Notamacropus eugenii: one gene and its partners. The protein of the gene in region 4 interacts with the protein of the main gene of each other region in a pairwise test. Links are inferred from orthologs where the notes say so. Each region holds a gene or a part of one and is shown on either strand. Other genes may lie near its edges.

Region 1 (7,797 bases), about 250 Mb from region 4:
AGGACCCTAGGGCCTGGGGTTTGGTGGGATTTAAGACCTATAGCTGCCCCAGCTTTTCTGTTACATTGGGCTGTAGGTTCCCAGTCTGTAAAATGGATCAAGGACTCTTCTTTCTTGTCCTTCCCTTTATACCCACTTGAGGCTGTTCTCAATTCCCCATCTTCATGGCTTGGTTTATTGAATTTGGTATCAAGAAAACCTGAGTTCAAATCCAGCTTTAGATACCTACTAGTTGTGTGACCCTGGGCAAGTCACTTAATATCTGTTGGCCTCAGTTCCTCATTTGTAAAAGAAGAGAATTGTACTTGATGGCCTCTAATTTCTAAATCTCCATTTCTAAATCTCTGATGCTCTGATTCTTTCCAGGGAAGGTGCTTGTTCACTGTGCCATGGGGCTCAGCCGCTCTGCTACTCTGGTCCTTGCCTTCCTGATGCTCAGGAAACAGCTGACCCTGGTAGAAGCCCTGAGGACAGTAAGTGTCCATCGAAACATCTGCCCCAATCGGGGGTTTCTTTCCCAGCTGCGTGACCTGGACCTCCAACTTAGCCAGGAACAGCAAAAAGGGAGCAGAGAGAAACTGATGCCACCCACCCCTCTGCCCTGAAAATAAAATGACTGTTTTTAAAAAATATCAAAGGTTTACTGACATTTCACTAGGTTCAAAGGGTCTACCAATGGGGTTATCTTCCCTTAAGAATGTATTGGAAGGGTGCAGATCTGAGAGCTAGGACTTTTTTTCATTTAGAACTGTGCACATGTGTACCTGTGAAGACTGAAGTTGGCAGGGATCAAAATGGTGGAGAGACACTGTGAGGTGAGATAGGAGAACTTTGCCAAGGTTCCCTTTGAGATATTTTGAGAGATTTTTCAAAGGTTCTAATGGGTTGGAGATGTGAAGACCTCTGAGCAGGTTCTGGTCACAAACTGAATTTCTGTTCAGGGTCCAGGAAATATACGATAGTCATTCCTCTGTATAACCTTTCCCAAAAGCCACTTCTCTGAACTCTAGGCTGCAAACAGTGGCCCATCCTTCACCTGGACAGAATTATGGGTCAGATTCTTACAGAAAGGACATCTAGCTTTTGCAAAGCATAGGCCAAGGAACTGGACTTCATTTCCTGGCAAAATCCTCCCAGGCTCCTTGCTATTTTCACCTGTGATGTGGCATCCTGAGGGTGAACACAGTCAACTCAGTGAAGATAGAGGGCATAATAAGCATTGACATAGCACCTACTATGTGCTAGGCACCATGCTTTACAAATATTATCTCATTTGAATAGCATTCAAGCTTCTCTCTTTCCACACTTTTCTTAGCTTTGCTCTCTGCTCATCTTTCTTTGTGGTACAACCAAGGGTAGAGGGGGCAGGGGAAAGGAGAGAAGGTGTAACAGACCAGGAAGGGACTGGACATCCAGGTGGCCAAGAACAGGTGGTCTGTTGGTGAGCCCAGTTTCCTTTCTCCATCACACCTCCAGTCCTAAGTGGTACAAGACCATAATCATGAGCCTTGTTCCATTTTGTTTTCTACCCTCTATTTCTACATACTAATAAAGACTTGAAAAGAATACCCACACATTTTTAAATCCCCTTGGCCAGAGATTAGCTGCTTACAGCCTTCTCCTGCATTCCTCCCACCCCCAGCTCCCAACAATCATTGACACATACCATATATATAGCTGAGGCTGTGGCTAGACTTGCCGTATCCTCAGTGTGCAGAGTTCTGATTATGGGTCAGAGGGGGTGGTGGCAGGTGGCAGGTGCCAGGACTGCCAGACAGGGCTCAGTCTCACACCCTTGCCATGCCATCATCTCTGCAACTTCCCCTCCTGGGAATGAACGGGACTGATTGCCCCGGGTAGGGTGGGTAGTAAGAAGAGGAGGGCGGAAGGGGGGGAAGCAGATCATGGTTTATAATTAAACACAAATCCAAAATAGAAGCAGCCTCAACAGAGCAGAGACAGGCAGCTGGGAACCTGCCTATTGGGAGACTATAGCCATCGGCTGGAACCAGGCTAGGCCCCCTCCACAGGTGAGTGCCTCCCCCTCCTCACCCCATTCTAGGCATGCCTCGAAGGGCACAGCCCCTTGGTAGCATGTGCTTGGGGGTGGCAGGGACACACGTGGGTTGTGGTAGCTGGCTGTGTGGGGAGAGTTAGAGCCACCTGACCCACACAGACAAATAGATAGGAGTCAGAGACAGAGGAAAACTGATAGTTAACAGTGTGACCCATCACCCTTCTCTTCTCAGCACAGACAAGACAATCCTGAGCTGTGTAATTATATGAGGATGGCAAAGGAACAATTAATTACACCTGAGAGGTAACCTGATAGTGTGGTATAGTGATTAGGGAGCCAGTATGGTATAAGGGAAAGCACACTATGTCTGTAGTTTGAAGTAGTGGGTTCAAATCCTAAGTCTGTCACTATCTTTAAATTATTTAAATTCTTCTAGGCCTCAGTTTCTTCATCTGTAAAATAGGGAGAGGCATTCATAGCATATCAGCTAGAGAACTGATCTTGAAGTCAGGACAACTTGGGTTTAAGTCCTTGGCCACGTGACCCCGGATAAGTCACTTAAACTCTTCCTGCACCAGGTGACTCCCTGAGACTGACTTATTGAGTTTTCTCACCTGAGAAAAACCTTTACCAAAGAAATCACCAGCTCAGTCCTCATCCTCCTCCCTCACCCAAAATCAAGAGAGAAGACTAGACCACTAAGGTCCCTTCCACCTCTGAATCTATAGTCTTCTAAGTGTGGGACTTGAGATAGGAAAGATCTGGAGTGGAATTGTTTCTTCTTAAGCGAGTGATCCTGGGCCAGTCAATTACCTCCCTTGAGTCTCAATGTCTTAAGTTAATAATGGATGACCCATGGGTTCCTCTGTTCTCAGATTTTTAGGGATCCGTGGGGGAAGGGAGGGAGCTTCTCAGATGAAAGATGGAGACAAGGGATGGGATTGAGGGTAAGAGAAAGGGAGCTGCCCAGGAGTGGCTGACCCTGGATGGAAGGCAGCATTTCTTTCTACCTGTGAGAGAGAAGGTTGTAAGAGCCCTCATGATTTCACTTTTTTATATCAGGGGTTCTTAACCCTTTGTATGTGCGTGTTTCCTGGACTGCTTTGGAAGGATCTAATGAAGCCTGTAAACTCCTCAGAATGTTTTTAAATGCAGAAAATAAAATACATAGGATTATAATACTTATGCATAGGATTAAAATATATAAGATTCAATACTTATCAAACTATTAAAAAAAAATCACTGACTTCAGGTTAAGAATCTCAGAATAAATTTTCTCTTTTGAAGCTCTTTACAATTTTATCCTCCCCTAGGCTAGATTGGATTATTTTCTATAAGCACAAATCCTGACCCTTCAGCTCCCCCAGACCAAAAATCCCAACAGAAATGACTTGGATCTGGTCTTAAGACAAGGCAGAGGCTAGGAGCAGGCCAAAAGCAGCCCAGGGCAAACAGCAACCAGTGTAGAGATCTGCCTCTGTATTTGTTTGCCCCTGGAAATCCAGAGCCTCAGTGCCAACAGGGTAGAGGGGGTGGGTGGGTGGGGAAATATCCCTTGGAAGAATAAGGATTCCCCTGTTATCCTCATCCCTTCTCACCCTGATCAGGGTAGTCCCTGGAAAGGATCCCTAGGATCCTTGATTTGTAATTAAAAGGAACCTTACAGGCCAGAATTAGGGATCTTGAACAAGAAAGGACTTCAGTAGCCATTTTACAGATGCTGAACTGAGAAAGTGACTTGCCCAAGGTCTTACAGGCCACAAAAATTAGAGACCAATTTGAATCCTCTGTTTCCCTGGGCTAGGTTAAAATGATTTCTCTGGTGAGAAATGGGGAGGGCCTCTGAAGCTGTCCAGGATTTCTCTGCTCAAAAATCCTTTCTGCAGCGAAAGGTGCTAAGCTGTTGGTTGAAGTGAGTGTCCCAGGGGAAGGAGGGTTGTTGTATTGTTTAAAGGTCTTCTTGGGTCTGAGATATTGGGGTTTCCATGCAGTTGGGCTGCAGAGCATGGGGTTGGCCACGGGAGGGTAGTCTTACCCTATGTTTGATTCTGGGAGGCCAGAGAAAGGCTTGGCAAAGGGAGAGTTGGGTGGGACCAGGTCTCTCCATCAGAATTATAGCAGGGAGACAGAGTGTCTGGATTCAGGGGGCAAGAGCTTCCTGAAAGCAGCCCCCAGACTCAACCTGATCAGAATCAAGGCTGCAAGAGCCCTGGGATGACCAAGCCTGGCCAATTGGCGGGGCCAGTCCCTGGTTACCTCCTGTTGTTGGTGGTTTGTTATTGGCACCCACTGTAACCTCCCTTCTTTCCTGCCAACACCCCTTCTCCGGGGCCCCTTTAAATGACATCATATGAGGCCGCTTACTCTGCAATCTGTCCTGGACTAGCTGATGAGTACATCGATGCCTTGAGACAGCTTGATGAAGCTGTAGCTCAAGACGGGCTCCTCTTCTGGGCAGGGATAGCTCAGGGCCTCCCTCCTCCCTCCTGCTCCCCCCTCCCCCCCCAGAAACTTCCATGTCAACCAGCTGGAATTCTAGACGCTTCACAGCATCTGTGTTCTCAGATGGAACCTCCACCCCCTGTTCTGATCCCTACTGTTGAGTCCAGCACTGCCCTGGCCCCCAGAGCCTCCAGACTCAAGCCCTAGACCATGCTCTAGGTAGGTGGGGTCATATATAGGTAAGATGCCCATTATTGGGGAAGGGTTGGAGGTCTCTTCCAGGGTCAGGCAGTACTTCCGTGGGCTTGAGCTTAGTTCCGATTTTAACCTGTGAAATCTGCAGAACCCCACAGTCAGTGTTTCCTGGGAGTTCAACTCTCTGGGTCAACAACCATTTCTACCATCAGCTGGCTGTAGGAGTTTGGACAGGTCATTCAGGTTCTATAGGTTTCTCTTTACCCCTGCTGCCAGGTTTTAAGCTGAGATTATAGGCCTTTATCCCATCAAGTGGAAGATTTCCTCTTATGTTGTCCCATATGTGATTACCCTGAATGGGGGGGGTGGGGTGCTCTGAGAAAGAATGCACCACCTCCAACCTCCATCCCACATGGACTAGCCACAGTATGCAGGATGGGAGGTCAAAGCCAGAGGGACACCAGACCCTGATATATATGACCCCATAGCTTTATAAGCTCCAACTTCCTTAGGATTTCTTTGTATAGCTAGCTATCCAGATAACCCACTTTCCTGGACAAGATACAGCCAGTGTCCCCATTTCTGTGCCCACTAGGGCCCTGGAAACATACTCTGTCACCCCAGAATAATGGTTCTGGATACAGTTCAGGAATTTAAAGAAGGAGAGAAGGAAAGTTAAGGCTATGTCTAACCTTTCCTCTATCAGATGGGAAGGTTCACTGCTATCAGAGGTCAGGGTCTCAATGGGGAATTGAAGGATGGGAAGTTTATGACTATTTTCACCAGGAGTCCCAGGGGCAGAGTCAGCAAAGAACACCTGATACTGGGAGAGGAACCTGTAGAGTCCTGTGGTTACATCAGCCACACTCTTGGGTACGGCCCAGGTGGCAGACAGAGAATAGAATAGGACATTACTGTCCCTGCTCCAGGTAGAAGTCACTTCAGTTCCTAGCTGCTTCAGCCTCATGTGAGTGTGGTCCCCAAGCTTACCTGGGAAAATTGTGAGAAGGATTTGGATTCCCTTGCCTACCCCCTACACCCAGGGCCAGGTGCCCCTTGGGTCTAGGGACTTACATGCAAGTACTGTATCCACTATGTACTATGAAAAGAAGCCCAGGAGACAGCAAGCCTTCCATGTTTACTGAACTCTTCCAGCCTGGCTTATTTCCAACATGAGGTGGTGGACCTGGCCCAGGTAAAATTGGTTCTTGTTAAAATTGTGAAGTCACATCATTTTCTTTTAGACACCTTTCACTCAGCTTGTATCCTATCCTCTGAGTCTTGTCCAACTCATCAGCTAGTTGTCATAAAGGTTTAGAATGACAGCCTTAAGGTATCACCCCTCTCCAAGGCAGCAGACAAGGCTGCTACTTGGGAAAAGACTAGTACGTATTCCTACAAATAACAAATTATATACCCCCTTAATTTCCAAATTGTTCCTTGAACTCATTTCCCTTTATCTCCTAAATCAGGAGCAGCCTAACAATCAGAACAAGAACCCTGGTGTAATAGAAGTTACAAAGGAAGCTTATAGCTTTCCTTGACTGGTAGACCTTTTTTTTTCTTTTTTCTTTTAATAAAACAATACTTTGAAGTTCAGTTAATGGAAGACAGTATATATTCCATAGTAGTAATAATAACAATAATAAATTAAAAAAGTCATAGAATCACAGAATTTTCAAGAGGGAAGGGTCACATACTTAACCCTTTTCCCCAGGATGCTTATAGATCATGTCCATCCATTAAAATGAAGGAAAAACAATTCAAACTCCAAGCTAGTCCATTCCAATCTGACTCTCAGGGAGTTGGGACAAGGAAGTTGATTAGGATGGGAGGGACTGAGGTCCCTCCTTACTTCCAGATTTCTGGTCCTGTTTTGCTGAGGAAAGGGAAGTGGGTTTTGCTGAGGAGTACATTAGGGGAAAAATCACCTGTTCAATTTAATTCAGTACCTACTATGTGCCAAGTCCTGGGCAATCCAAGAATGATATTGTCCCTTGTCACCACTGCACTCTGCTATCCATGAGTAGGACTCTGGAAAAGGTCTAGAAAAGGTTAGCTTGACCTGTTTAGGCCCCAGACAAGTATGTGGCTAAATTCTGTAGCCAATGGGCCACAGTACTGAGATCCTGGGTGGCCTCTACTGGGTGTTAATGGGCAAGGAGGTGCTAGTCTATGAGAAGAAAGAATGGAAATCTAGCTTCCCTTGAAACAAACTGAGAGCCCTGAGGGGCAAGGGATGACATAAGCCCTGCAAGGGTCCCTTATCTCCTCTGTCTCATGGCTAAGCCCAAGCAAAAAACGCTGGGGAGGCATTGGGCAAGACCCATAGCCTTGCCTCTGTCTTCCTGATCCTAGCAAAATGATCTCTATTTGCCACCCAGGAAAGGCAGAGGTGAAGGAAAGAAAGTTGGTATGGAATTACATAATGGGAGAGAATTTTAAAGATCACCCAGTCCAACCCCCTTTTATACTCAGAGCCCCATTCAATTAACTAAACTCCCAACACCCATTCATTTTTCCCAAAGCCATTTCCCAACTCCCCTTCCATGGTTGATTATATAAAAGTCTCTCTTCTCTCATCTCTTCACTGCTAAGAGAGACAGATGTCTCTCACTCCCTCTATAAAAACACAAACAAAACAAAAAACCAGGTATCTTTCCTCGTGGTGATGGGAGAGACAGCTTTTCCTGGATTCTGGGACTTATTCCTCCTCCCCCCTTCCCTTCCACTTCCCTCCTCCCTCCCCCAGGGCCTGCACAAGGACAACAATGGGATGCCCTCCCCTGTTTTCCAGGATGGACTCACTGCAGAGACAGGACCTGCGGAGGCCCAAGATCCATGGGGCAAGCCGAGTTAGCACGCAGAACCTTGTCCCCTACCAGACACCCACCCTGGCCTACCTGCAGCGCCTGCTGTGGATTCGAAGGGCCTCCTCGATGAGTCACATCAATGAGGTCTGGCCTAACCTCTACCTGGGAGACGCGTAAGCCCACCTTCCCCAACTTAACAATGATGGGAGGGAGACACACCTCTGAGGAAGCAGTGATGGGCTTCTCAGGGATGACTTTTTCCTGAGGAATCGTTGAAAGGCTCAGCCCCTAGGTACCTCTCCCTGGTAGCAAAGGAAAGAAGGGGGCAAA
Region 2 (8,419 bases), on a different chromosome or scaffold from region 4:
CTCCCCGGACCCTGCCATTCTCTCCCAGCTCCAGCTGCCTTCCCGCCAAGAGCGCCCGCCAAGAGAAGGCAGCCCGCCAGGGCGGGGACAGAGAAGGCCGGTGCTCGGGCGGAGGAGGCCCGGCCCGGCCGGTGGGCGGGACCGGGAGGCGGAACCGGGAGGCGGAAGCTAAACCAGGCGCTGCCTGGAGAGAACCGGTGGTAGTGGTCACATCGCCTTCAGTCCCTTCGTCATGCCATGTGGGATCACTTGGCTAAGTTACCCGAGTGCTGGGCCATTTCCTTCTCCAAGACCAAGAAGGTTAAGTGACTCGCCCAGGTTCTCAGGGCTAACGGGGCTGAGCTCAGATCCGACCTCAGACAGAGCAATCTTCCGGATCCCGGTCCTGGGCTCTACACACCTGCCACTGGACAGAGCCAATGCGGAGGGGGCTAGGGCGCCCTCCGCCACGGCAAACCCTGCCTGGGCAGTGAGAGGGTGTGCGGGTCTGGTCCCGCAAAGCGACATTAAGAGCTCGGCTTGTGCACTTCGTCCCTTTGTGTCTTAGGCAATCTTACAGGACCTTGGTTTACGTCTCATCCAAATGGAAGCGCCCTCCCCTTTGTCACTGGGTTGTCACGCTTTGAAAACCTTAAAACAGCATATAAAGATGAGCCTGTCAGTGCAGAACTGCAGATTCTCAGAGTTGAAAGGGACCTCAGTGTCCTCCTGGTCCAAATGGCACCTGAGAAATGATTCCTTCTTCAACACAACCGACAAATGGCCAGTTGGCCTCTGCCTGAAAGTCTGCCCTTGGAGGAAACTCAATGGTCCAAGGCAGCCGTTACACTTTGGGGTAGCTCTAACTAAACACCAAGCTAAATTGGCCTCTGCAACATCTGCTCATCACTCCTATTTCTGCCCTCCAAAGTGAAGAATAAGACTGTTTTCTTTTAGAAATGATTGAGAATTATGAACATGGCTGTAACAACCCACTCAAAAAAGTCACAAGAACTCAAAGTGTGGCTGTCCTTTTACCTCTCCAGGTGAAACATCCTTCAACAGGCCTTCATATAACGTGATAATAATGTAATATCATTGGAACCTCAAGGGCCAGAGCCTCAACTAATCAACCAGAAGAAGCAACAGATCTAAGTAAACGCTGAGAACGCCTCCGTGTCAACAAGAGCTGACCTGAGCATTCTTCTATTAATGCCTACCAAGGACAGCGGGCCTTAAGCAGACACTACCTAGAATAAAGGGACTTTCTCTTATCTTAATATTTTATGAACATATACTGTGTTATATCATGTTAATGGTAAAGAAAACAGATATCCTGGGTTGTAATTTCAATCGACACTTTGTCAACTCTCTTATCTTATTGTATTTACAACCTATTCAATTAAGAAAATTCCTTTTCTCATACTATGGTTAAACATATATGGAGATCATAAATTCGAGAGACATAGACATGCTGAGTTGAGATTGCTCTAAAACCTGTTTAAGGCTGGTCATTCTTTTATCAGTCAGAAATCATGTTTTGGCTCTGTGTATGCATGTATCTGCTAGCTAAGGAAATAAACAATATGAATTTCTATATCACCTAGCCTGTTTGGGTCTTTTAACCAAACTTTCAAGTGGACACATGAAATCGAGGCCCTTCACCATGTTGTTCTACCTCTACTGGATCAGCTTATCAATGTCCTCCCTGAAATTATGTACAGTTTTGTGCAGTATAATGTGTTTTGATGCCCCAAAACCACAGGTAATAGTCCAGGTTTGGTCTGAGTAAGGCACAGTAAAAAAGTAATTGGCTTTTAAAAAATGTTTATAGTAAACAATTGTATTTTGGTAACAGCTCAGGTTTAGATATATTGAGTTTCAAGTGTCAATGGAAAATTAGGTAGAGGTATTCTGTAGACAGAAGGAGATACAGATCTGGACATAGAAGAGGAGTCAGATGAGTTATCTCAGTAAGTGGAAGCTGAAGTGGTGGGATTAATCAAATTGCCAAGGGAAATAGTATAGAAATGAGAGAGGGCCAAAAATATAAAAATAGGCAATACCACAAAGAGGAGAAAGAGACAGTGAAAGAAGTGGAAAAACCAAGAAAGTGGTATCCAAAAGGTGGTAGTCAACAGTGTTAATATCTAATGAGAAGAAAAAAGCTTTGATAAACCTGTTAAGCAAACAGAAAATGTGATCTAAGTATTCTTATAAATTATTTTAAAAATTGCAAGGAAAAGAAATATTTGTTCCAATAATGGAAAAAAAAAACTTTTTTTAAAAAACAAAAAAAGGGGAAGAAATTAGTAGACAAAGTTCAGTGGGTTTGAATATGCAAGAATAAAAACTTTGCACAAGAAACTAAAAAATATCTAGTCTAAAATAAAAAGAGTGAGGAAAACAGATTTGTAATGTATCTGATAAAGATTTATCTTCCAGAACATATAAAGAACTGATAGACAGCTATAAAATTAATTTACACTCCCCAATGAGGAATGGCCACAGGTCATGTAAGAGACAGCAAAAGTTAAGTTTCCACAGAAGTTATTATTAGTTGATGAAGTCAGTGAGAATTCAGATAATAAGCCTAGCTGACTGTAGGTGGACTCAACCAATCAAGAGACAGACAGTGGCCTTCAGAAAATTACAAAGTTTCAAATCTACAGTTAGCTGGAACTAGTCAGGGAAAAATGACCTAGAGTTACCAGGAGAAGGCTTTTCTTCACTGAGTTTGCTTAATGAACCTCAAGTATATAAACAGACACTCTCGGCATAATATTATCCCTCCATTTTCTGATCATGGGTCCTATGTTAAAGAATGTGTGGGAGGGGGGATCTCACCAGGGGTGCTTATGTAATGGGCATTTAGAGAAGATCATGACCTAATGGACAATGGACCAATCCGTCTCTTGATGGGATGATCTGTCCTGAGCTAACAGTATAAAGCCAATCTCACTTATGTATCTGACACTCACTCCTCCCCAAAAGAGGAAGGAGGCCCGCTTTGGCCAACGTGTTCAATTCCTCTGAACTCTGCTGCAATAAATTTCCCTTGATACTTTATTAGTGTCAACAGGTCATAAACAATTTTTGAAAAAAAATACAGGTTAAGAACTACATGAAAAGATGTTCAAAATCCCTAATGATAAAAAATGGACAAATCAAAAAACCTGGAAATGTTTTTTGTGCAGTGTGCTCTTGGGCAATTCACTTCCCCTCTAAGCCTCATGTTCCTCATTTATAAAATGAGGGAGTTCTCTTCCAGCTACAGTCATATTCCTTATAACCATTATATTGCCTGAAATGGTAAAAAAAATGATAAAACTTCAGTAGGACACTGTAGAATTCAGTAACTCTGACAAAGCAGAAAACATACATTATTTAGCCAAAAATTGCTGGGAAAACTAGAAGGCAGACTAGCAAAAATTCGTCTCAGATCTATTCCACATTACATTCCCTAAACGTCATATCTACCTTCTGATTAGTCCTGATTTTGAAGTACAGCTGAGAACGATTTCTGAAACGGGAAAAATATCCTTCTCTCCCAGTCCTCTAATCTAAACAACAGGCCAACAACAGGTGGTTTTATTTACTGGTTTGTCTGGGTCTAAAAGCGTATGTTTTATGCATGATTAAAAAACCTTCTAGAATCACAAGGTCAGCTATTGTGTATCAACAAAGCAATCAAACTCTGTGTTCAGCAGCCTTTACATTTAAAGATAGAAGATCTGGTTATAATCCAAGGCTAAAACAATTACCAGTTTTTAAACTGCCCCTACTGCCGCCCCACGGCACTCTACTGCTCACCTCCAGCTCGAGGGTACCTGGAATACCCTTTCTCATCAGCTAAGCTGAGTCCTTTATTCCAAAAGAACACAATCCATTCACAAATCTGCATTATTTACTTCTCTTAGATGCCAGAAAGCTAGATTTTCCTTCACTTCTTTGCACCCCCTTCCGGCGCTCCCCAACAACAGATGCGCAGTAACTACGGGCTTATGGACCGCAGTGCAAACGGACGGAAGGAACACAATAGGCTCCAGCTGGACCGAGAAGACGGCATTTGGGGCCCAGAGGCCTCCCCTGCCTCCCTCCAACCTATTTCTCAACACCCGGGGACCCCCTGGTGGGAATGTAGAGATTTGTGGTGAAAGGGTGGGAAGAGGCCCTGACTTTCATGGTAAAGGGGTGGGATAAAATCAGATAAAATATTAAGTGAAAGTAAAAAGCTACAACAGTCAATCAAGGAACTTGAAAAGCTGCAAACATTCAAACCAGTTAAATCCAGGAGCTCCCGGGCCACCCTCGCTCGCACCCTCCACGGAGGCTCTCACCCCCTACTAAAGGCTGCTCCTGAGCCTCAGCCCACCTTCGGGGTCCCTTCCGCCCTGGATCCTCTGATCTGGAGTGCCGGTGGCAGGGCCGAGGCTCACAACCCAGCCGTCCCTCACGCTCGCGGCCGTGGGCCAAGCCGAGGACGCAACGCCCTTCCACTGCGCAAGGGCCTACCCCACCTCTCGAACCAACGAGAAACCACCTCCCACTCCTCACACGCGTGTTCCTTTCTGACACCCCTAGTCCCACCTGAGATTTCCACTCCCTTCCTCCGAACCCAAGGGGAAAAAGGGCGAGGACACTTGGGAAAAAGCGAATTTCCCGCCCGCAGGCGCAGGCACCGCCCCGATCTGCAGGTCACGTGACTCGACGCCTGCGCACTGACAGCCCGCGCGACTCTCCTCCCCGGGCCGTCCCCCTAAGTCATCCACGATCCCACAATTCACCAATCAAGCGCTCTGTGGTGCACTTCCGGTTCCTCAGGGCTCCCGGACTCGCTGCTACATCCGGAAGAGAAGGGAGGTCGTTGTACGTTGTCTGTGTTGACTGTTCTTCGTCTCAGGTTCTGGAAAGGCAGCCGCCGCCGCTATTGCCATCATGTCGGTCCCGAGCGCCCTCATGAAACAGCCCCCCATTCATTCCACGGCTGGGGCCGTCCCCGTTCGCAATGAGAAAGGTAAGGGGCCCAAAACCTTCCCGCCGGGTTTTCTGACAGCCAGCGACCCCCCTTTTTCCCCGTGCTTCGGTGCCCTGCGACCCCCGACTCCTACCCCCCCAAGCACGCTACACCAGAGCCGGCCCCCCCAATTTCTGGCTTTCCTTCGGAGCTTCCTCCAGCCTGTCCCTCATCGTTACCACTTTGACCTGCCCTTCATCAGTCTTCTCCTGAGCCCCATTTATGGGTCATGAAGCCAACTTTACTCCCAGACCTCCTTCTAACCCCAGCCCTCTGAGTCCGCGGTCCTCACCGCAGGGACTTGCACACACCCCGTCCTCCTCCTCCCCTCGTTCTGCAGGCGGACGTTGATTGTCTGGGTCCGATCATGAGTGTATACACTTATAAAGTAGAGGAACCTTGCCCTCAGAAAGCTTACAGTGTTACTGTAAGGGGGGAGGGAGGCGGAGAAAGAGTGACAGGATGAGTTGCGTGCATAAATGCATACGTAAATATTTATAATACAAAATAAGTGTCCTAAGAACGGCGCTGTGGCTAATTAGAGAAGGCAGCAAGGGGGAGGATGAATTGAGTAATAAAGGATGGACACGTTGTGGTGTGGTCTGTAAATGAATAAACATTTATTAAGCCCCAGCTGTGTGACACACGCTGTACTAATGGGTGGGATTACAAAAAGACCAAAGCCAGCGTCTGCCTTCAACGAGGTTACAATGTAACGGGGAGACAACGCAAATAAAGAAATTGAACAAGCTATGATACCAGATAAATAGGAAATTGTTAACAGAGGAAAGGCACTGAAATTGAGAGGGGTTGGGAAAGGCTTCCTGTAGAAGGTGGAATTTAGTTGGAACTTAAGCTAGGGAAGTCGGTAGTCAGAGGGGAGGAGGGAGAACATTCCAGGCGTGGGGGACGATCAGAGAAAATGCCCAGAGCTGAGAGATGAAGTGTGTTGTTGGTGGAACTAGGAGACCAGTGTCACTAAATCAAGGAGTACTCTTTGGGGAGGAAAGTATAAAAAGACTGGAAAGAAGGAGGTAGGAGGGGGCTCGATTATGATGGGCTTTGAATGACAGAGCATTTTACATTTGATTCTGGAGGCAATAAGAAGCCACTGGAGTTTGAATATGGGGATGGGTGGCATGATTGGACTTACCAGTGGCTGAATGGAGGTCATACCTATAATAGGGAAAAATCTGAGACGGGCAGACCCACCAGCAGACTATTACAGTAATCCAGGTGTGACGTGATGCGGGCAGCAGAGTGGTGGCAGTGTCAGAGAAAAGAAGGGGACCATATTCAAGAGAAGTTGCAAAGGTGAAATTGACACAGGTCTTAGCACCAGCTTGGGTGTGGGAGTTGAGAGATAGTGAGGAGTCCAGGATGACTCCTGGATTGCTAGGTTGAAGACCAGGGAGGATGAGGTTGCTCTGTACATTTGTGGCCCGAGTGCGGAGGGGATTAAGAGTTTAGGGGGAAAGATAGAGTTCCATTTTGGACATAATTTGAGTTTAAGATGTCTACTGGACATCCATTTGGAGATGTCTGAAAGACAATTAGAGATCCAAGATTAAAGGTCAGCAGAGAAATTGGGGTAGGTAGGTAGTTTTGAGAGTCATCAGCACAGAAGTGGTAATTAAATCTATGGGAGCTGATGAGATCAACAACTGAAATGTAGAAAAGGGTCAACAAAGGAGACAGAGAAGGAGCAGTCAGATATGAGGAGGACCAGGAGAGAGTAGTACCCCCAAAACCTCGAAGAGAACATCAAGGAGGGGAAAGTGATCAACAGTGTCAGAGGCTGAAGAGAGGTCAAGGAGAATGAGGATAAAGAAAAGGCCATTGCATTTGGCAGCTAAGAACATTTGTAACTTTGGAGAGAACAAGGCAATCATGGAGCCATTAAAGGTTGGAGGACATTGAATCAATTTTGGAAAATTCATCTTAGATCAGTGTGCAAATGAATTGGAAGGGTCAAAAGCAAAAAAACAAGGAGGCCAGCTAAACAATTACAGCAGTCTAGTTAAGTGCTTACGTTGGGACTGAGCCAAGATGGTGGAGGAGAAGGACAGACCTGCTCTAGCTCTATCCCCATATCCCACAGATAAGGGATTAAACTAGGATAGAAGTTGTAGAAATGGAAATGAAGGGATGAATTCAAAAGATATTGAGGAAGGAAGAATCAAGACTAGATGTAAGGAGAGGGAAGAGTTAAAGACTACTTTAAGGTTTTAAACCAAAATGATAATAAAAATAGGAAGTCAGGTAGGGGTGCAGCTGAGGTAACGAAAAATGATTAGTTTTAGACATTGATTTTGTGGGGCTGGCAGAATGTCTAGCAGCAAGTTAGAAATGCAGAACTTTTGCTTTCACCTAATACTTCCACTTCCTCACCACCTTTTCTATCACAGCTGTGCTTTCAAAGGCCCCCGCCCATCCTAATCACCAAATCAAATGTCAGTTTTTGGTCCTCATTCTCCAAGAGCACTCTGCAACATTCAGTACTTGTTAACCAGTCCCCTCCGGTATAATAGCTCTTTCTTCCACTTACCATCAAAAATGTCACATTTCTGTTGTGATGAAATAAACTACCTCTCTGTTTCCTTTACTAATTCTTCATCTCCCTGACCATCTATTATAAACCCTCTTCTGTTCTTTCTTCAGTCTTTCATCTAATAATCTCATTCACTATTACCTCTACATAGATAATAGCCCTGAGTTCTAAACACATCTTTTTGTCTACAGAATCTCTACTTTTGTAGTAGACATCTCAGACTAACAGATCTGAAATCAAAACTTATTTTTCCAAAAATCTATTCCTCTACCCAACTTCATTATTTCAATAGCTCTACCATTTGCCCATGTTCAAAACCATGATGTTACTGTTGACTCTTTTTTTTTTTTTTACCTTTCATAGCCACTCAGGTACCAAGGCATGTTAATTTCATCTCTGTCATCTCTTGTATTCCTCCTACCCTTTTTTCCCATTGCTACTGTACTATACTACTGTATAGTACAGGCCCTCCTTGCTGCCTGCCTAAGCTGTTCAGGATTCTCCTAATACATCTTCTATCCTCCATGCTATCCTACACATCCTTTACACAATTGACAGACTTCTGTTCTTTATGCATAGAACTAGCCATATAAGCTGCTAAAACTCATCAGTAAGCCCATATTATCTTAAGTTGTCTTTGGTTAAGAACTCCTGGGCTAAAGTCCTTTCTAGTGCCAAATCCTATCCTGTGAACTAAATGTATCTCCCCTTAGTGCTGGTACACAAGAATAAATAAATTCATTTAATAGAATTTACTAGAGATTAAGAGAGAAATGGAATGTTATAGATAAGTTTTCATGTTGTAATTGTGATGTCAGGAGTGTCTGCAAAGAGTGTTTTGGAAACTAATGAGTTACCTTCCTCATCCAGGG
Region 3 (7,584 bases), on a different chromosome or scaffold from region 4:
AATTCTAGGAAGTGCTGAGTTCAGCAGTGGCAATGCCAGGCCTAGCTCCTGGGCACATCCCTGAGCTCTCCTTTTACTAATTTAGGCCAATGTACACAAATGATCTTACTCTACAAACGACCAGAAAGGCCTTTAGAGGCTGTCTAGTCTGAAGCCATTTTACAGATGTGGCAACTGAGGCACAAAGAATGTAAGTGACTTAAGTGCATGCAGGTATTCCTAAATGGAGGTGCTAGGGGTCTAAACCCAGTAGCTCCTTCCTCCACCCAGATTTGCAGCTAAATCAATGAAAACCCACAGCATTCATGGAGAGCCAGTGGTAGTTCCCAGGCTAATTGAAACGTGCGTCACCTGCGGTACCCACAGGATTCCTTACCCTCTTCCATGCTTTTGTGCAGAAAAAGCCACAACCCCCAAGGTCAAAAGCAGAGACCTCCAAGGCTGGGAGGAAGAGAGGCCCAGAATTCCATACAAATCTGAATTCCTCAGGTAACTTCTGAGGTTAGGTGTGCAGAATAACAGCCAAGTGGCACAAGGACAAAGCAGTTAGGTTGTGGGTCAGCTGTGTCTGACTCTGGGACCCTGTGGGACCATATTGTCCACAGGGTTTTCTTGGCAAAGATACAGGGGTGGTTTGGTATTTCCTCATCCCATGATTACAGCAAACAGAGTTAAGTGACTTGCCCAAGGTCACCATCACACCAGCAGCCACAATCCTGAGACCTTAGAGCATTCTTCCATTCTGTCGATTTCTAATCCAATCCTTCATTAACTGGTGGAATTCCAAGGCAGAAGGAGCCAAGGAAGTCCGTGATTCCCAGCTCCCAATCTCTTTTCTCCTTTCTCTTCCCAACCTCCAGGAGCAGCTTTAAGGTTTTTCTTTCCCCAGCTATTTGCTTTTCTAGGAAACCACATCTTCAGTCTTTTGAATGAGCTCAATTCACCAGCTTTTGGGATGGCTGTACTACACACTGGGCACAAAGAGAGAAATCACAGCCTGCCCTCAGGAACTTATGTTCCACTCAACCGAAAGCCAAGGCTTACTGGAGCTCAGTGCTGGTCAGGCTATGGTAACCTACTTTTCCTTCCACAAATCTTATTCTAGTTTTATTTAAACACAATCCTCGAATTTGAGAGTTGGAAGGGCAGGTCCATGTAGGAAAGCTATCAGAATCACAGCTGGAAGGGACTCTGGCAGCCATTAACTTTACAGAGAAGAAAACTGAGGTCCAGAGTGGGGGAGGGCACAGTCACTAAGGGCTACCACCTTTGTCCCAGTCCACCCAGTCTTTCTCCACTCACTGGAATTGCAAATAAATGGCTTTCACTGAGAGGATGAGCAGGGCACATTTCCACTAGAAAAAACACCTTAATCTGTACAGCTCATCCGTTCTTTAAAACACCTGATCTTATATATGGCAATTTGTTCCAACTTGTAAAGAATGTGTTGGCTGGGATCTGCGGGTTTAACTCTGCACAGTTAAAAAGTTTATTCAACATACTTGAGAGAGAAAGGACAGAGGGGATGGGGGAAAGGGGAAAGAGGAGAGAGGGTGGGGGGAAAAGGGGGAAGAGGGAGGAGGAAGAAGAGAGGGAAGGGGGAAAAAGGGAGGAGACAGAAAAGGAGGAAGGGAAAGAGGGGAGGGAGGGAGAAGGAAGAGGTGGTAGAGGGAAGGGAGGGATACAGGTTTTCTCATAATACATTCCAATCTCCAATTCAGCTGCCCCCTTCTTCCCAGTACAATATACTATCTTCAGATAATGTGGCTCCCAGGTTTTGTCTGAGAAAATTATAAGTTCATGAATTGAAAAGAAACTGATTAAATGCTTGCGCTGCGCTTGTTTTAGTCTAGTTTTACGCAGAAGGTGAGCTCCCTGAGGACAGGCACTACGTTTACCTCTGTGAGCCCTCAGAGTTGACTCGGTCCTGACACATCCAACTGATTAACAAAATGCTCCTGGCACCCTTACGTTCCTATCAGGAAGAGCTCTCAGACTTGATACCAAGTCAGTCACTTCTCCACTTCCCAATCCTCCTTTGGGAAGTGAGGGGGCTGGGGGAGATGGTGTCTAAAGTCTCTTTTTAGTTCTAATCTAGGATTCTATGGACTTCCCCACTTGGGGGCTGAGAACAGCCGGGAGACAAGATTGGAAGCCAGGTCCACTGGCCCCAAAGCCTTCCAGCTCCCAAGAGCCGGCTGTCTCTGGGGTTCAGGGTCCCAACAGGTCCCCTCCAGTGCCTTCCCCTGCTAAGCCTTCAGGATCCTGGTGACTCGATGACCCCTTGGATGGTCCTAAGGGAGCCCAGGCCAGAAGCATCACTAACACAGCCAAGTTTCACACAAGGAGCACTCTACTAGAAATTCTGGCTTCCTCCATCCAGCCCAGACAAATAATGTGTATTTTTCTTGTTTTTATTTCTTCCCCTCATTTAAAAAGTTTCTAAAACCCCAAATACATCTCACAAGATAGGCTTGCCAACACAGACAAAATACAAACTTTCCGGCGGTTTGATTAAATAATGTGAGGAGCGGCAACTATTCCGTTGGAAGCTTTTTCCAAGCAGGGGCTTGGTGTCTGGCCAGGGGAGCAGCTTCAGCCAATGGCCAAATGGGAGCGCGCTAAATCAACACTGGCTGGGCACTGCACAAGCGGGGCATCTCAGTTCCGTGCCCCACCTTCCAAGTTCCCCCGCCCCCGGTCCCCGGTCCGAGCGTCCCTGGGGTCCCCCACCAAGCCCTGCCCCCCCTTCCTTCCCACCCCTGACCCCGTTCTTTTTAGTTTACAAACAATCGCGGGGTCCTGGGGGACCCCGTCTGGGCCAGCGCGCTCCCTCACCTTCCTTTTCCACTCAGATTTCTTACTGACCAGAACAGCGTGTTTCACTGGGCGGGTCGGGGCAAGGGGGCATCTGAGAAACCAACCCAACGTCTGCTGGGCATCTTACCCAACCGGGGGGTGCACGGGGAGGGTCCCCGGAAATCCCTTCCTTTCAGCCCTGAATCCAGGGGCTCTCGCTCGGGAAGCGTCCCCAAGCCCCTACCCACGGGCACGGGGCACACGCGCGCACGCGGGCCCAAGTGCAACACGAGACAGACCCATCGTGGCCAGCAGCGCTCCCGGCGCGCCCGGGGAAGGCCCGGAGGGGCCATGCGTGCAGCCCCGAGCCTCACCTCTGCAGCCGCCGCCGGCTCCATGCTCGCTCCTAGCCGGGCCGGGCTGGGCGCGCCGCGGACGTTCGCGAACGGCCGGCCCGGGCGCAGCCGCTACAAAGTATCGGGGCCAGCCCGCACTCTCGGCCCACGTCCGAATGCAGACGCCGAGCGGCGGGCGGGCTACGCGCGGGCCCCTGAGCGATCGCACTCGGCTCCCGGCCGTGGGGGGGAGACGGCCGCCAGGCCGCCCGCCTCGGGCCGCTCCGGGCGCGCCGCGAGCCCCGCGCGTGGCGCCCGGCCTCGCAGCCGTGGCCTTCCACGCTCGTCCCGGCCGGGGGCGCGAGGGAGGGGCGGCGGCCGCGCGTGGGCGACGGCTGGCCGGGCCGAGGTGGCGGCGTCCCCCCCGTAGTGTGGGGCGCCAGTGGAGCGGTCCGATCGGCTCTCTGCGCGGGAGAGTGCTAGGGGGACGGGCCCTCCTGGCCCGGGATCGCAGCCACCTGGGCCGGGGCTCGGGCACGGAAGGAGCCGGGGCCGCTCGTCCCCTGGACGAGCACTGCAGCGGACCCCGGAGCCCCACCCGCCCCGGGCTGGTGTTTCTGGGGGGCTTTGTGACCCGCTCTGCACTTGGGGTGGGCTTTGCTTAGGAAGGGGCGCGCGTTGGGAGCTGGCTGCCAGTGCACGCCCATGTGCCCACGGCTGTGCAAGCCTGGCCAGGGCCGCCGCAGCCCCAGCCCGGGCAAGGGCTTGGCTCTAGCTTTTGGGAGAGCCACGCTCGTGGGAGGCTGGCTGTCCTTGCTTGTAGCCTCCACTTTTGCAAAGCATGGCGCTCAGCAAAGCTCCTAATGCATCACGTGGAAATGTTCGTGCTCCGCTCTTTCCCGAGTTACAAAGTTGCCACAAGCACCTCTGTATCCTTCAGAGGGAACCCAGGCGCCGCGGGCACAGCGGATGCCAGCCCTTGGCTTGAATGGGACTCATTGTTGAAGGAGCGAGTGGGAGGACCCAGCGCCGAATTTCATTTTCTCTCCAGTGGTGGATGGGGAGGAAAGCTTTGGGTTTTCAGAATGAAGAGTTTAGTGACAAGACGCCACTTTTTTACTCACTGTGCCCGAGTCCAAAAGAAAAACAATTCTCAATGCATTTGAGTCCCAGTAAGGGAGGTCGTCGGCTGTCATTCTTGGGACGATGGCTAGAGCACCACTGGATCTGCAGTCAAGAGACAGTGGAAATGACCGCCCCTTCGTCTGACCCTGATGGGCCCTAACTTCCCTGAGTGTAAAAGGAGAGGGGCTTAGGAGATGAATTCAGCTTTCTCTCGAGCGCCCTTTCGGAAATGCTGAAAGGTTTCTCAAGCATTTTCCTTACTTCTAGTGGGTAGCGAATGCGAGTAAAGCAACTGAGGCTCAGAACTGGAAATACACAGTAAAAGTGAACCAAAAGACATGCCCTTTGATTCATTAATTCCTGAGTTCAAATGTGACCTTGGACACTTACTAGCTGTGTGACCCTGGCCAAGTGTAGTTGTGGGGATATTTGTCAAATTCTTTGTAAATCATAAAGTGCTATATAGAATGCTAGCTAATATTGTCATTAATTTTTAGTCACATTCCCTGGGAGTATACTTTTAAATACAACCGACCCCAGAAGGGCTATAGATACAAAGATTGTCACAGCAGCTTTGTAGACAATTGTAAACAAGCAGTTAAACTGGGCTACATCGTGTAACAGAATCCTTTGGGTAAGATGAACAAGCGTAAGGGACACAGCGATTATAAAATTGTGCGAAGTGGGGTGGGGGCTGACCCAGAAGAACAAGGTTCACATAAAGTAAACACTAGCTCCAAAGAGGCAACGTTAAAGAGAGTGAATAGACAGCCCAACGAGGACTCGGAGAGACTTTCTGGTACTGAGTCAAGAGGTGAAATGATTGATTTCAAATAGAAATGGGGGCTGGTCAATTTTATAATTGGCTGAATTGATGTGTTTTTTATTTTAAAACAAAAAAGTCAGAAACTCCAGTTGGGTTACCCAAGGCACACATGTTATCTTTTAAGGAGGGAAGATTGAGGGCTCCTGCCAAAGGCAGTTGTTTTGAAGCAACTTTGTAGAACTGTCCTGGACTTGCTTTGCAAGTTTCAAGTTGTTAATTACTGACCATCGCTGGAAGTCTAAATGTTGCTTTTTAAAACCTATGTGAGGATACTGCCCCAGGGCCCCCTGCTTGATCACTTGGTTAAGTCCTCTTAGCTGGCTTTGGAAAAGAATTTACCTCATTTTAACTGAAACATTTAATGAGACCATTTTATTTGGTGTTATTAAAAGTTCCATTCTGCCCTTTTTAATGTTTGATTTTTAAGTGATCCAAACATCACAGCCAATGGGAAAGGACCAGAGAAGAAAGTATGACTCAGTCTGTGTTCCATGGGCAAAAAAAATGAAGCATCGGGATCGAACTAACCTCAGTGGCAGGAGGAGGGGGTGGGTGGGTGGATGGAGCCAGCTTTTTATGAAGATTTAAAAATTTTGTAACCAGAGACATGAAAGATGTTTTTGTGCAGGTATAGATTTTTCCCCCTCAAAATGTGGCCAGTCGGCCGCTTGTCGGCAATGTTGTCGAGGGTATTGCTGGTCAGGTAGGGATGGGACTGACGGCTCATTGAGGTGCCTTCCCTTTCTGAGATTTTAGTATTTGAAAAAGAACGAAACCTTTAAGTTTGCTTAAAATAAAATTTTAAAATAGCAGTGAAATGCATTTTTGAGAGTATAAATCCCCAGGCTTTACCTTATTGTTATCACTGATTTTATACAGATTTTTAGGATCATCAGTCAAGAGCTGGAATGGAGTAGTAGTGACCTTGAGTCTGATTCTCTCTTTTATTAATATTATTGATGATGATGATGGTAATGTCTAGCATTTACATAATATTTTATGACCTTCAAAGCATTATACATGCTATCTCAGTTGAGGCCAAGGGACTTGCCTAGGGTGACCAAAGTACTAAGTGACACTGCCAGGAATCAAACCCTGGTCCTCTGACACTACGACCATGGCTCCCTCCACTCTGCGCTGTCCTGAGCCTGGCTGTAGCCAGAAGACCCATCCCTCCCAAGCTATCCCTCCCTTTCCAAATTTTACTGGGCTGTTGCTTAGGGGATGGCCATCCTATAGGTCCTCCCACGGCTTGTACTCAAAGACAGGTCCAGCTGAAGAAAATACCCATCTCATGGGAATAAGAAGAGATATCTGTCATTCCTGCCCTCCTATCTGCTTCTGGAGATGAACAGAGGACTCTTTGAATAAACCTACAGAGAATGAGCTGACCATACGTTTATTCAACTGCAAACAGAAGTGATCAATCTGTGCAGTCATTCTTCAAACATTAAACATCAAAGAATAAGAGCCAGAGAATGGCTTGGCTCAGAACAGTTTTGACCTGAATGCCCCTGGAAAAGATAAGAAAATAAGATGTTGGGGTGGGGGAGAAGAAGAGGAGAAAGAGATGATGATGATGATGATGAAGATGAAGATGGAGGAGGAAGAAATAATGATGGAGGAGGAGGAAGAGATAAGGATAGGCAAATAGGTGGGTATAGTGCACAGAGTGCAGGACCTGGAATCAGGAAGACCTGAATTCAAATCCAACCTCAGAGACTTATTAGCTGGGAAAGACATTTACCTGCTATCTGCCTTAGTTTGCTCATCGCTTAAATGAGGCTATTAATAGCACCTACCACCCAGAGCTGTCGTGAGGATCAAATCAGATAAAGTGTTTGTAAAGTAAGCCTTAAAGATGAAGGAATTGAGGCTGTCAATAAGCATTTATTAAGTGCTTACTACATACAACCTAAGTGATGAGCCTAAGGGTACCAGCTGGCAAACTTCGGAACAGGACATAGACCTAGTTCTTTTTGACTCCAAAGCCAGCACCATTTACTTTGCAGTTCCTTAGACTCAGAAGGGATTGTAAAAGACATTCAATATGTCCACCTGCCATATGCACAAAGACACAAGTTGTCTCTAAGTATTGAACATTGAGGAAGGTCTTGACATATTTGGTTTAGTCCCAAGAAACAGAGTGAAAAGAGATGAGAGGAGGTTCTAAAGAGGGAAACCAGATAGACCCTACACTGAGGTATTCCAAAGTAGATTAAGCTGCTTTGAGAAGGAATGAATTCCCCCTTATCGGAGGACTTCAGGTAAAGACTGGATGGATCCTTTTCATCAGATTGGGGTCAGTCTTTCTGCTGATCTCCAGTCTCCCATCTCCACCTGCCTTTCAGACTTCTCAAACTGGATGTCCAATAGGCATCTTAAACTAATGATCTAATGATCCAAAGAACTCATGATCTTTCCCCCTAAACCTTACCCTGCCCTCCTATGTTCCCTATTACTGTAGAAGGTACCACTATCCTCTCAATCTGCCAGGCT
Region 4 (7,906 bases):
AATAAGTAAAAAATGCAGCAAAACATAGATAACATTACATTTTAAAACTAAGTTAAGGGATCTTTATGTATGCATTGACACCCCTGGACTAGATCTCCAAAGTATCTTCCAGTGTTGAGTTCTGTAACCCTATTATCTGGTCTGGGCACTTGTCTTCATATACATAAATGACTAGCCATTCTGAACTTTCGAGTTTTTTGTTTCTGTTAGGGGAAAAGGGGAAGCATGTTGATTTTTTTATTATTGTCAAAAAGTGGGATGCTCTAATAGGCTAGAAATTTTTGAGAAAGTAGCCAAAGGTCTCTGGATGGAAATCAAGGCATCGTTTGAAGAGAAGAAGATGCTCAAATGCCTTCCTCTCAGTTCAGAGGAAGATGCCTCCATTTCTTTCTCCCCTCCAGACCGTACAGGCTGACCCCATTCCTGTTTTCCTGGAATCTGGTGGTAGCTGGGTTTTGGTACAGTGTGATTCTGTACTACAGAGTGACAGCATTCAGGGTGCTTTAAGCCACTCTAGGTGCTGACTCACATTGCTGGAACATGACACCCCTGGAAGACTGATGATTTTTCTAAGCTAGATCATTCTCCCATTTTCTTTTTCTTGCCCTTTTGGTAAATCATTATGCTTAGAGGGGTTGCTTTTATTTGTACACCTGACCAAAACTCGTATCTTTTAGTTTTCCCTCTCTTGATAAAAATAATATCTGGTAATTTGTTTTTGTGTGGTCCTGTGATTTAATCCTCATAGGGAAATTCCCTTCACTGATTCAGACCAATTCATGGGGGGACCTTTTAAAGAGTTAGCTGGGGCACTGAGAAAATGTACTCATGGTTACACAGCTAATAACAGAGGCAAGATTGGAGCTTGGGTCTTCCTGGTTTTGTCGATTCTGATAAACTACCTTATAATTGTTTTTGTTTTAAGTTTCACCTTCCTGTGAGGTTAGTGGGGTAGGTATTTTGTTATTCTTGGTCTTCTTTCACCTTGAACCGTCCCCTTCCAATCTTCAAGCCTGCCTTTCATTTGCAAGCGGCTGGGATGTGGGGAAACCCAGGAAGCTACAGACAATTCACAACTAAAGTTAACTCCTCTATATACATATACAGGACATTCCCATTGTTGACCTGAAAACTTGGTTAAAGAAAAGGCAACAGGCTAAATGCATACATTTTATGATTTAATTAATTAATCAGTTCCCCATAAAGAAAACAGTTACATAGCGCTATGGAGTCAGAGGTGACTGACTACCTAGTACAGAAATCATCTGTCTTAAGTACATTTTGTCGTGAGAAAGAAACTCTCCTAATTAAGCAAATCATAAATTGAGTAAGACGGGACAATTAACAAAGCAATGTCAGTCAGGCCTTGGGATTCCAGGCTGGGTAAGCATATGTCTCAGTGATAAGAAAAGAAATCCCACCACTAGTAAGTGGCAGGCTTCCTGCCCTAAACAGATAACTGACACAGGAAGGGGCAAACAATGTTCAATAGAAACCCAGGATGCCTATATTTTCTTTACCATTAATATGCCATAACATAGTATGTGTCTATAGATAATAAGATATAAAGGGAAGTCCCATTATTTAAGATAGTATCTTAGGTTAAAGGTCTCCCAAGGAATGCAGTCAGCTTTGGCTGGCTTTTGCTGACATAGGAAGAGGCATTCTCTGAGTTTGCTTCAGAGAGAACAAAGAGATTATTCCAAAATTTTATATTAAATATTATCACCATGTATCTCATTAATACCCGATGATGGCCCACCAGCAAAAATTCCAAGGGCTAAAGATTCCAAGGACAATTCTTCCAAGAAGCTAGTTCAAAGAAACAGACTGGGTAGCAGTTAGGTGAGAGGTAAAATTATCTTAGGGTGGGACCAGGTGAAAAAGTCTTATATCATGACATAGCTTCCACTTCTCTCTCCCGGAACACCATATCTACTTTCTTTCATGTTAGCAGGAAAATGTCTAGGAGGAGGAGTTTAGTTTAACTGGATTAACTAGGCATTAATAATGGGCCTTTGGCTCCCACCCTTCCTGTTTGAGATATGCACTGTCCAGGCAGATACCCAGCAGTTGATAGACATTCATGATGCATATTTGTCCCTCCCAAATTCCATCATTCACCATTGCTGCATAAAGAAACACCATATTTGGAGATTTTTGCCTCACATTTTTCTGTTCTCCCCCCCATTCCCCCGAATTCCTAGAAAATCAAGTATTTAGTGAGTCCCTACTATGCACCAGATAACTATGTTAGGTACTAGGGAATACAAGAATGAAATACCCACTCTCAAGGAACTTATAATGGGGGAGAAAACAAATAACTAAAAATACAGCATAATTACTGGTTCTTCCAAAAATATACCTTGCATAAGGTGAATAAATGCAAATCTATAGAAAGTAGTTAAATTCAAGTTAGTTTAGCTGGGGAGGGAATTGAGGGGATTAGGAAAGGCTTCCAAATCCTAGGACAATGGAGTTGTAAATTATGTTGACTCACCTAGGAGCAGAGAGGTCACATATGCTTTTAAAAGTAGTCTGCCAAGGCAGGCAACATGTTGCAGTGGGAAGGGTGAAGCTGGACTTTTGCCCTAGTATAGAAAATGTGGAGACTAAGAAAGTTAGCAGATTGAGAGAAAATTAACTTCTGTTGCATAGGAGATGGGATCTCAAAAGCTAGCCAAGCGATGGTGAAGTAGTTTGGGTTACAGGGACAGAAGACTGAAGTTTCTTTGTTCTATCCCTGTCTCCTGTCCCTTAAAAAAAAAAAAATTCCCTCCATCTTTACCCTGTCCTCTCTCCAAGGCTTCACCTTTCTTACAAGGGGACCAGACCAACTTCTACCTCCTCCCTCCCCAATCAAGGTTGAGTAAAGAGCCTGGTTTGTTTCCTTTAGGTTATGTGAGAAGGAACCTCCCCAACACTTAATCTAGTGGAATACAAAGAGCATGGACCTTCAGATCTCATAGGCTGAACTGGATGACCTCTGGGGTCCCTTGCAGCTTTGAAATTCTTGTCTTCTAAGCCACTGAAGCAACAAATTCACCCTCCCACTCAACTGAGTTTCTGTTATTTCTGATATTTCTACATCATTACAAAGTTAATTTTAGGGCACATTCCATATCCCTTGCCCCAGACAGTGTTTGCCGCATGAACTAAAATTCCCAGATATGGCTCTGGGGAAGAATACAAATTTTGGAATCAAAAGACATGTGTTTGAATCCTGACTTGGTTCTGAATCCTGATACCACTACCACTGCTACTACCTACTGCTTAATTCCTGTGTGACCTTGGGCAAGTCACTTTAAACCTGTTTGGACCTCAGTTTCCTCATTCAGCAAAAGAGGACTAGGTGACTTCTAGGCACCTTCTAAATCTATAGTCCTAGGATTCTAACTTCCCTGCCTGGTGGAACAGGGAAGATATGGCTGCTGGCAGCTTAGGGGCAAAGTCCAGAGGAGGAATTCTGTCTTTGGGGAAAGAATGTATGTCAGCTGTCAGTTTGGTGGCCACCTGTGGCTCAGATATCAAGAGGTGGTAAGGGCATAACCGCAGTCACCCATGTTCTGGTAAAATCAGCCTGCGGGCCATCTTTCGCACCTAATAGGCTGCTAACCTCAGAGTCTGCCTTTGCTTATGGTGTTGGCAGGTTTATTGATAATGCAAAAACGCACCACCTTCTGGTTAAACTGGTGCTAACAAGGCCATGGCCAGGGGTTTCATTGTTGTATGGCTTTGTTCTCTTTTTCCCTGGCCACTCCTTAACCAGAGCTGTTAACTAGAAATTCTTTTACCTGGGGCAAAACTAATTCAGGGAGTTGTGTGGGGTGGGGGAGGAATGCCAAATGTAGTGTCAGTAAACAGGATGGTCTGACCAGGGGAACTGGGGGTGACAGTGACAGGGGAACTGGGGGTGACAGTGACAGCTCAGGCAACAGTTTGCCCGTCAGAGCAGTTGCATTGGGAGAGGAGAAGACCTGTTCACCAAGAAATACTATCTATGCCCACTTTGGGATGGGCCCCAGACAAGGAATATTCTGGTGACAGAACCTGGTAAGGAAGCAGGATTGCACAAGCTAGCAGAGGACTTTGAGATGTGAAGTAGTGGGGTAAAGGTCCTGAAGGAGGAGGGAGAAGGTGAGGATCCCCTCCCAATCACAAAATGTAGGTGCTGAAGTAAAGCCCTGGTTATCTTACCCTAGTTAGAGTTACTGTTTACAAAAGGGACAGGTGCACCTTTCCTTCCTCTAAAGAAACATTTTAATGCCTAAATCCTGCAGACAGTAGCACAGATGGCTGGTTATTCTTATTAATACATGCTCTAAGTACAAGGCAGGACACTCACCTTGCATGGAGGGGTGGAGGGAAGTGCCAAGCCAGGATACAGTGTTTCTCTGTGGCTCTCCATCCCCCTGAACCATGGTAAACACCTGAGGAGCCCAGAGGTGCTGACAATGCAAAATGGTTCCCCAAAGGGTGCTGAGATACCACATACCTCAAGTTCTCCTCAAAAATAGATTACTTCTCCTTTTCCAAACTCCGCCCTCTGCCTCTCTCCCTCCCAGAACTCTGATGGACCAGTCAGAAGAAGAAATACCAGCAAAAAATGTCTTGACTGGAACCCCATCAGGAAGTACCTCATAGCAGAGGTTTTCCCAGCTGACTCCACCTTCCCTCAGATTATTGCGTAGCCAGTAGGGTTTCCTATCAAGGTCGGAGGACCAAGGAAATGGGCTGACTAGCACATTGAAGGCTAAATTATAGCCAAGCTGGAAGCTCCAAGAACAAACTGAGAGGTAAGAAGGCTTTGTTATCCTAAGGGGGAGTATGGGGAAGTGTGTAAGTGAGGGAAGTGGGGGAGGGGAGGAAGTGGAGGAGGGATAGTTGGCCAGAAGGAATTAATTTAAAGCAAGGGAAGGTCATTAACCTCTCGCTGAGTAGTCTAATAGGACAGATGCACAATTAGGGACAGGCAGTTTGACACAGTGGAAAGAGTACTGTGTCTGGAGCCAGAGGAATGGAGTTCAAATCCTATTTCTGAAACTTTCTACCTGTGTGACCTTGGCCATGTCACTTAACCTCCTTGGTCCTCCGTTTCCTCATATGTAATATGAGGTTGGACTAGATGACTTCTGAGGTCCCTTCTGGCTCTAAGGCTCTCTCTAGGATCCTATGATAGGGGGTTTCACGTACCCCGGGAGCCAGTCAAGCCAGTCGCTACCAGGCAGGACCAGAATCTTCTGTGTTTATTTCCTCTCACACCTGATTAGAATGCTGGATTTCAGATGTTTCATATCTACTTGGTACCTTGAATCAAATTAAATGTCACAAAGTTGGGTGTGGTGCACTTGGATTTTGGTCCAACAAGAAGACAAAAAGAGTTAGAGTGTTCCCTGTGCCAGTTTCCCGTTGAGTGTAAGAATCAGCTCTCATTTTGACGGAAGTCCCATATGAAAAGGAAGGATAGGAGAAAGTTGAGAAACTAAGATGAAAGGTCATTTGCAAATTCAGTCAGCCAAGGCAGCTTGGAAAGGATTTCAAGGGTAACCTGGATAATTTGAGTCAAAAATTTGCTCTGATCAAAACCAGCAGAGGTTAGGCACTGTGCTAAGCACTGGGGATACAAAAAGAGGCAAAAAGCAGTCCCTGCTCCGAGGGAGCTTACAAGCTAATGAAAGTCTCTGTCTCCCTTGTTTTGTCCTTCCAATCGCTTGTGTGCCTGCTGAGGGGAGGGATAGCCTTTGCAAAGTTTCTCCTCCTGCCTCACTCAGCTGGTAAGGATCTTCAGCTTTTCTGGTCAGTGGAGAGGAATTTACAGAGCTTGTAAGAGTAACAGACATAGTATTCTAAAAACTAGGATGAATTACGAAAACAATCTCACTCCTAGAAAACTGCTCATGAAACTCACCTCCATCCTCTCAGGTAGAGGGGCGAGGGACTGTGGGTGAGGGAAGTGATAATGCCACTAGATGGGACACTTTGTTAGCTCTGCTGAAATGTTGGGGTTATTGGTTGGGGATGTGGAGGGAGGACAGATTAAAGGAAAATAATTGTGGTATAAAAACAAAAGGTAACAATAAAACTTTAAAAAAAATTAGTGTACACAAAACTGCCCACAACGGCTGCAAAGTGTGCCACTATATGATCTTTTCAAACCCCTGTTTCCAGGGGGTTTGGAGTAAGTCATTAAGTTAGTATTTTCACTGAGTTTATAAAGGTAAAGTTCAGAACAGGAAAATATCCTGAGAACTATAGATTATTAGAGTCTGTAGTTAGACAGATTAAATAGAGTCTTGAGATAATCCAGCCAACCACTTTATTTTATAGATGAGGAAACCACGCCTCTGTAAGTTTACATGTCTTGGCCATAGCTCTTCAGTGGCAGAACCAGGACATGAGCCCAGGTCTTATGGAGGCCATGTGTAGTTTCCCTTCTAATGCACTATGGTATCTCTTTAAGAGACCAGTAAGGTGGATATGCCATGTGCTTCTAAAGTCTTTTTTTTTTTTTTTAGAGAAACTAGGCTAGCTCTATAAGAAAGCAGACTAGGGGAAATGAGTGTCTGAATAGCTATATTTAATACTAATACAGCACTCTTGCTTTCTGCTGAAGGCCCAGGCTTAATGACCTGGCTTCTCAGGTGACAGGGATCATAAAAAGGAATATTTCATCACTCCATAGCCAGGCAACGAGAAAGGAAAAATGCAATGGAAAAGAATTAAAGGAAATGAGTCTGTTGTAAATCAGAGAGCAGAGATAGCTGTGTCACTGCCTCACTCATAAGGAAGTAGCCTTGTGCAGCTAATTTCCTTTATTAGCTGTAAATAGTGGGAAGGTTACTTTCAAAATGTGGAAGGCTCCCCAGTGCCCACAGGGACAATTGAGGGACAGAAATCAAGTGGGCCAAGTATTTATTAATGCGCCCATCACATGCCCAATGCTTAAAATTTTGTTGGGAACACATTTAAAGTAAATGGAATGGTGCAGAACAGATTGTGTGGCAGATAATTCTTGCCAAGGTCAATGAGGCTGGAGAAGGCTTCTTTGCTTAGACCTCACACAGTACTTCCTCAATACTAAATCATGGCAGATTGTGTTTTCTAATCATGTGTTTGTGTCATCCCCCAACTGGAGATGTCCCTACTGGACTGTGAACTCCATAGGCTCAGGGATGTATCTCCCCCAACACCTAACAAAGTGTCCCAGATACACACAAAGCTGTAGCAGGTAAGACTAATGGTCACTGGTATAGGAAAGGATGTTTTCTCCCCATAGGGAGACATCCATCTTCCCCTTGGGAGGGAAGGTTGTCTCTTGACTGCCAGTGATTTCCTAAAGAGCCTTCTAAGGACTACCCCAGGAAAGAAACCCATCTTGTTTGGATGTGGCTACCTTGAAAGAAGAAATAAATCCACCCGTCCAAATCCCAAACTCCTCCCCAAGAGACCTGTTGCTTTCATGTTCTTCTTCCAGTTCATTCCCTCTCCCCCTACCAAGCTGGTACCATTATACCCTGCTGAGGCATATAACTCCCAAACCACCTGGCCTGGGGGACCAGCATCAGTGGTAGAACAAGTAGTAATGATGTCTTGTGTTGTCCAATCAATTAATTAATAAACATTTATTATGCACTATTGTGTGCCAGGCACTGTGCTAGGCACAGAGGAAACAAAAGAAGCAAGAGACAGTCCCTGCTCTCAAGGAGCTTATGATCCAATGGGAGTCTCTATCTTCCTTGCATTGTCCCCAATCTTTCCAATAAAGTTTTCCCTAGATATTGGAATTCCCAGGTATAGTTTATGCCTATTCTTTTTTTTAATTGAATTGCATGAGTTGGAATGTAAGTTGACTAATTGGTAGTCTAGACTGAGCAAAGGGAAATTGGAGTGGGCATTCCAGGCAGCA

The links.
Region 1: the proteins of CARD9 (region 4) and dual specificity protein phosphatase 13B-like interact in binary tests that used the Homo sapiens proteins (3 or more experiments, as listed by UniProt). The two-hybrid records come from large-scale screens. The link is inferred for Notamacropus eugenii from reciprocal best matches to the Homo sapiens genes CARD9 and DUSP13B.
Region 2: the proteins of CARD9 (region 4) and MFAP1 interact in binary tests that used the Homo sapiens proteins (3 or more experiments, as listed by UniProt). The two-hybrid records come from large-scale screens. The link is inferred for Notamacropus eugenii from reciprocal best matches to the Homo sapiens genes CARD9 and MFAP1.
Region 3: the proteins of CARD9 (region 4) and CDCA7L interact in binary tests that used the Homo sapiens proteins (3 or more experiments, as listed by UniProt). The link is inferred for Notamacropus eugenii from reciprocal best matches to the Homo sapiens genes CARD9 and CDCA7L.

Annotation. Positions count from the first base shown.
Region 1 is NC_092872.1:235,270,884-235,278,680, forward strand, and holds the start of dual specificity protein phosphatase 13B-like, read left to right. Parts: upstream 1-4,589; 5' UTR 4,590-4,678; exon of another isoform or gene 4,679-4,698; intron 4,699-5,763; exon of another isoform or gene 5,764-5,826; coding exon of another isoform or gene 5,827-5,849; intron 5,850-7,406; 5' UTR 7,407-7,425; coding exon 7,426-7,640; intron 7,641-7,797. Other genes in the region: dual specificity protein phosphatase 13B-like, read left to right, coding at 367-605. UniProt on the Homo sapiens protein: Dual specificity phosphatase that dephosphorylates MAPK8/JNK and MAPK14/p38, but not MAPK1/ERK2, in vitro. Exhibits intrinsic phosphatase activity towards both phospho-seryl/threonyl and -tyrosyl residues, with similar specific activities in vitro.
Region 2 is NC_092878.1:54,058,569-54,066,987, forward strand, and holds the start of MFAP1 (microfibrillar-associated protein 1), read left to right. Parts: upstream 1-4,745; 5' UTR 4,746-4,917; coding exon 4,918-4,996; intron 4,997-8,417; coding exon 8,418-8,419. Other genes in the region: WDR76 (WD repeat-containing protein 76), read right to left, coding at 1-18. UniProt on the Homo sapiens protein: Involved in pre-mRNA splicing as a component of the spliceosome.
Region 3 is NC_092874.1:14,239,802-14,247,385, forward strand, and holds the start of CDCA7L (cell division cycle-associated 7-like protein), read right to left. Parts: upstream 3,421-7,584; 5' UTR 3,198-3,420; coding exon 3,174-3,197; intron 1-3,173. UniProt on the Homo sapiens protein: Plays a role in transcriptional regulation as a repressor that inhibits monoamine oxidase A (MAOA) activity and gene expression by binding to the promoter.
Region 4 is NC_092872.1:489,795,399-489,803,304, forward strand, and holds the start of CARD9 (caspase recruitment domain-containing protein 9), read left to right. Parts: upstream 1-4,693; 5' UTR 4,694-4,796; exon of another isoform or gene 4,797-4,841; intron 4,842-7,906. UniProt on the Homo sapiens protein: Adapter protein that plays a key role in innate immune response against fungi by forming signaling complexes downstream of C-type lectin receptors.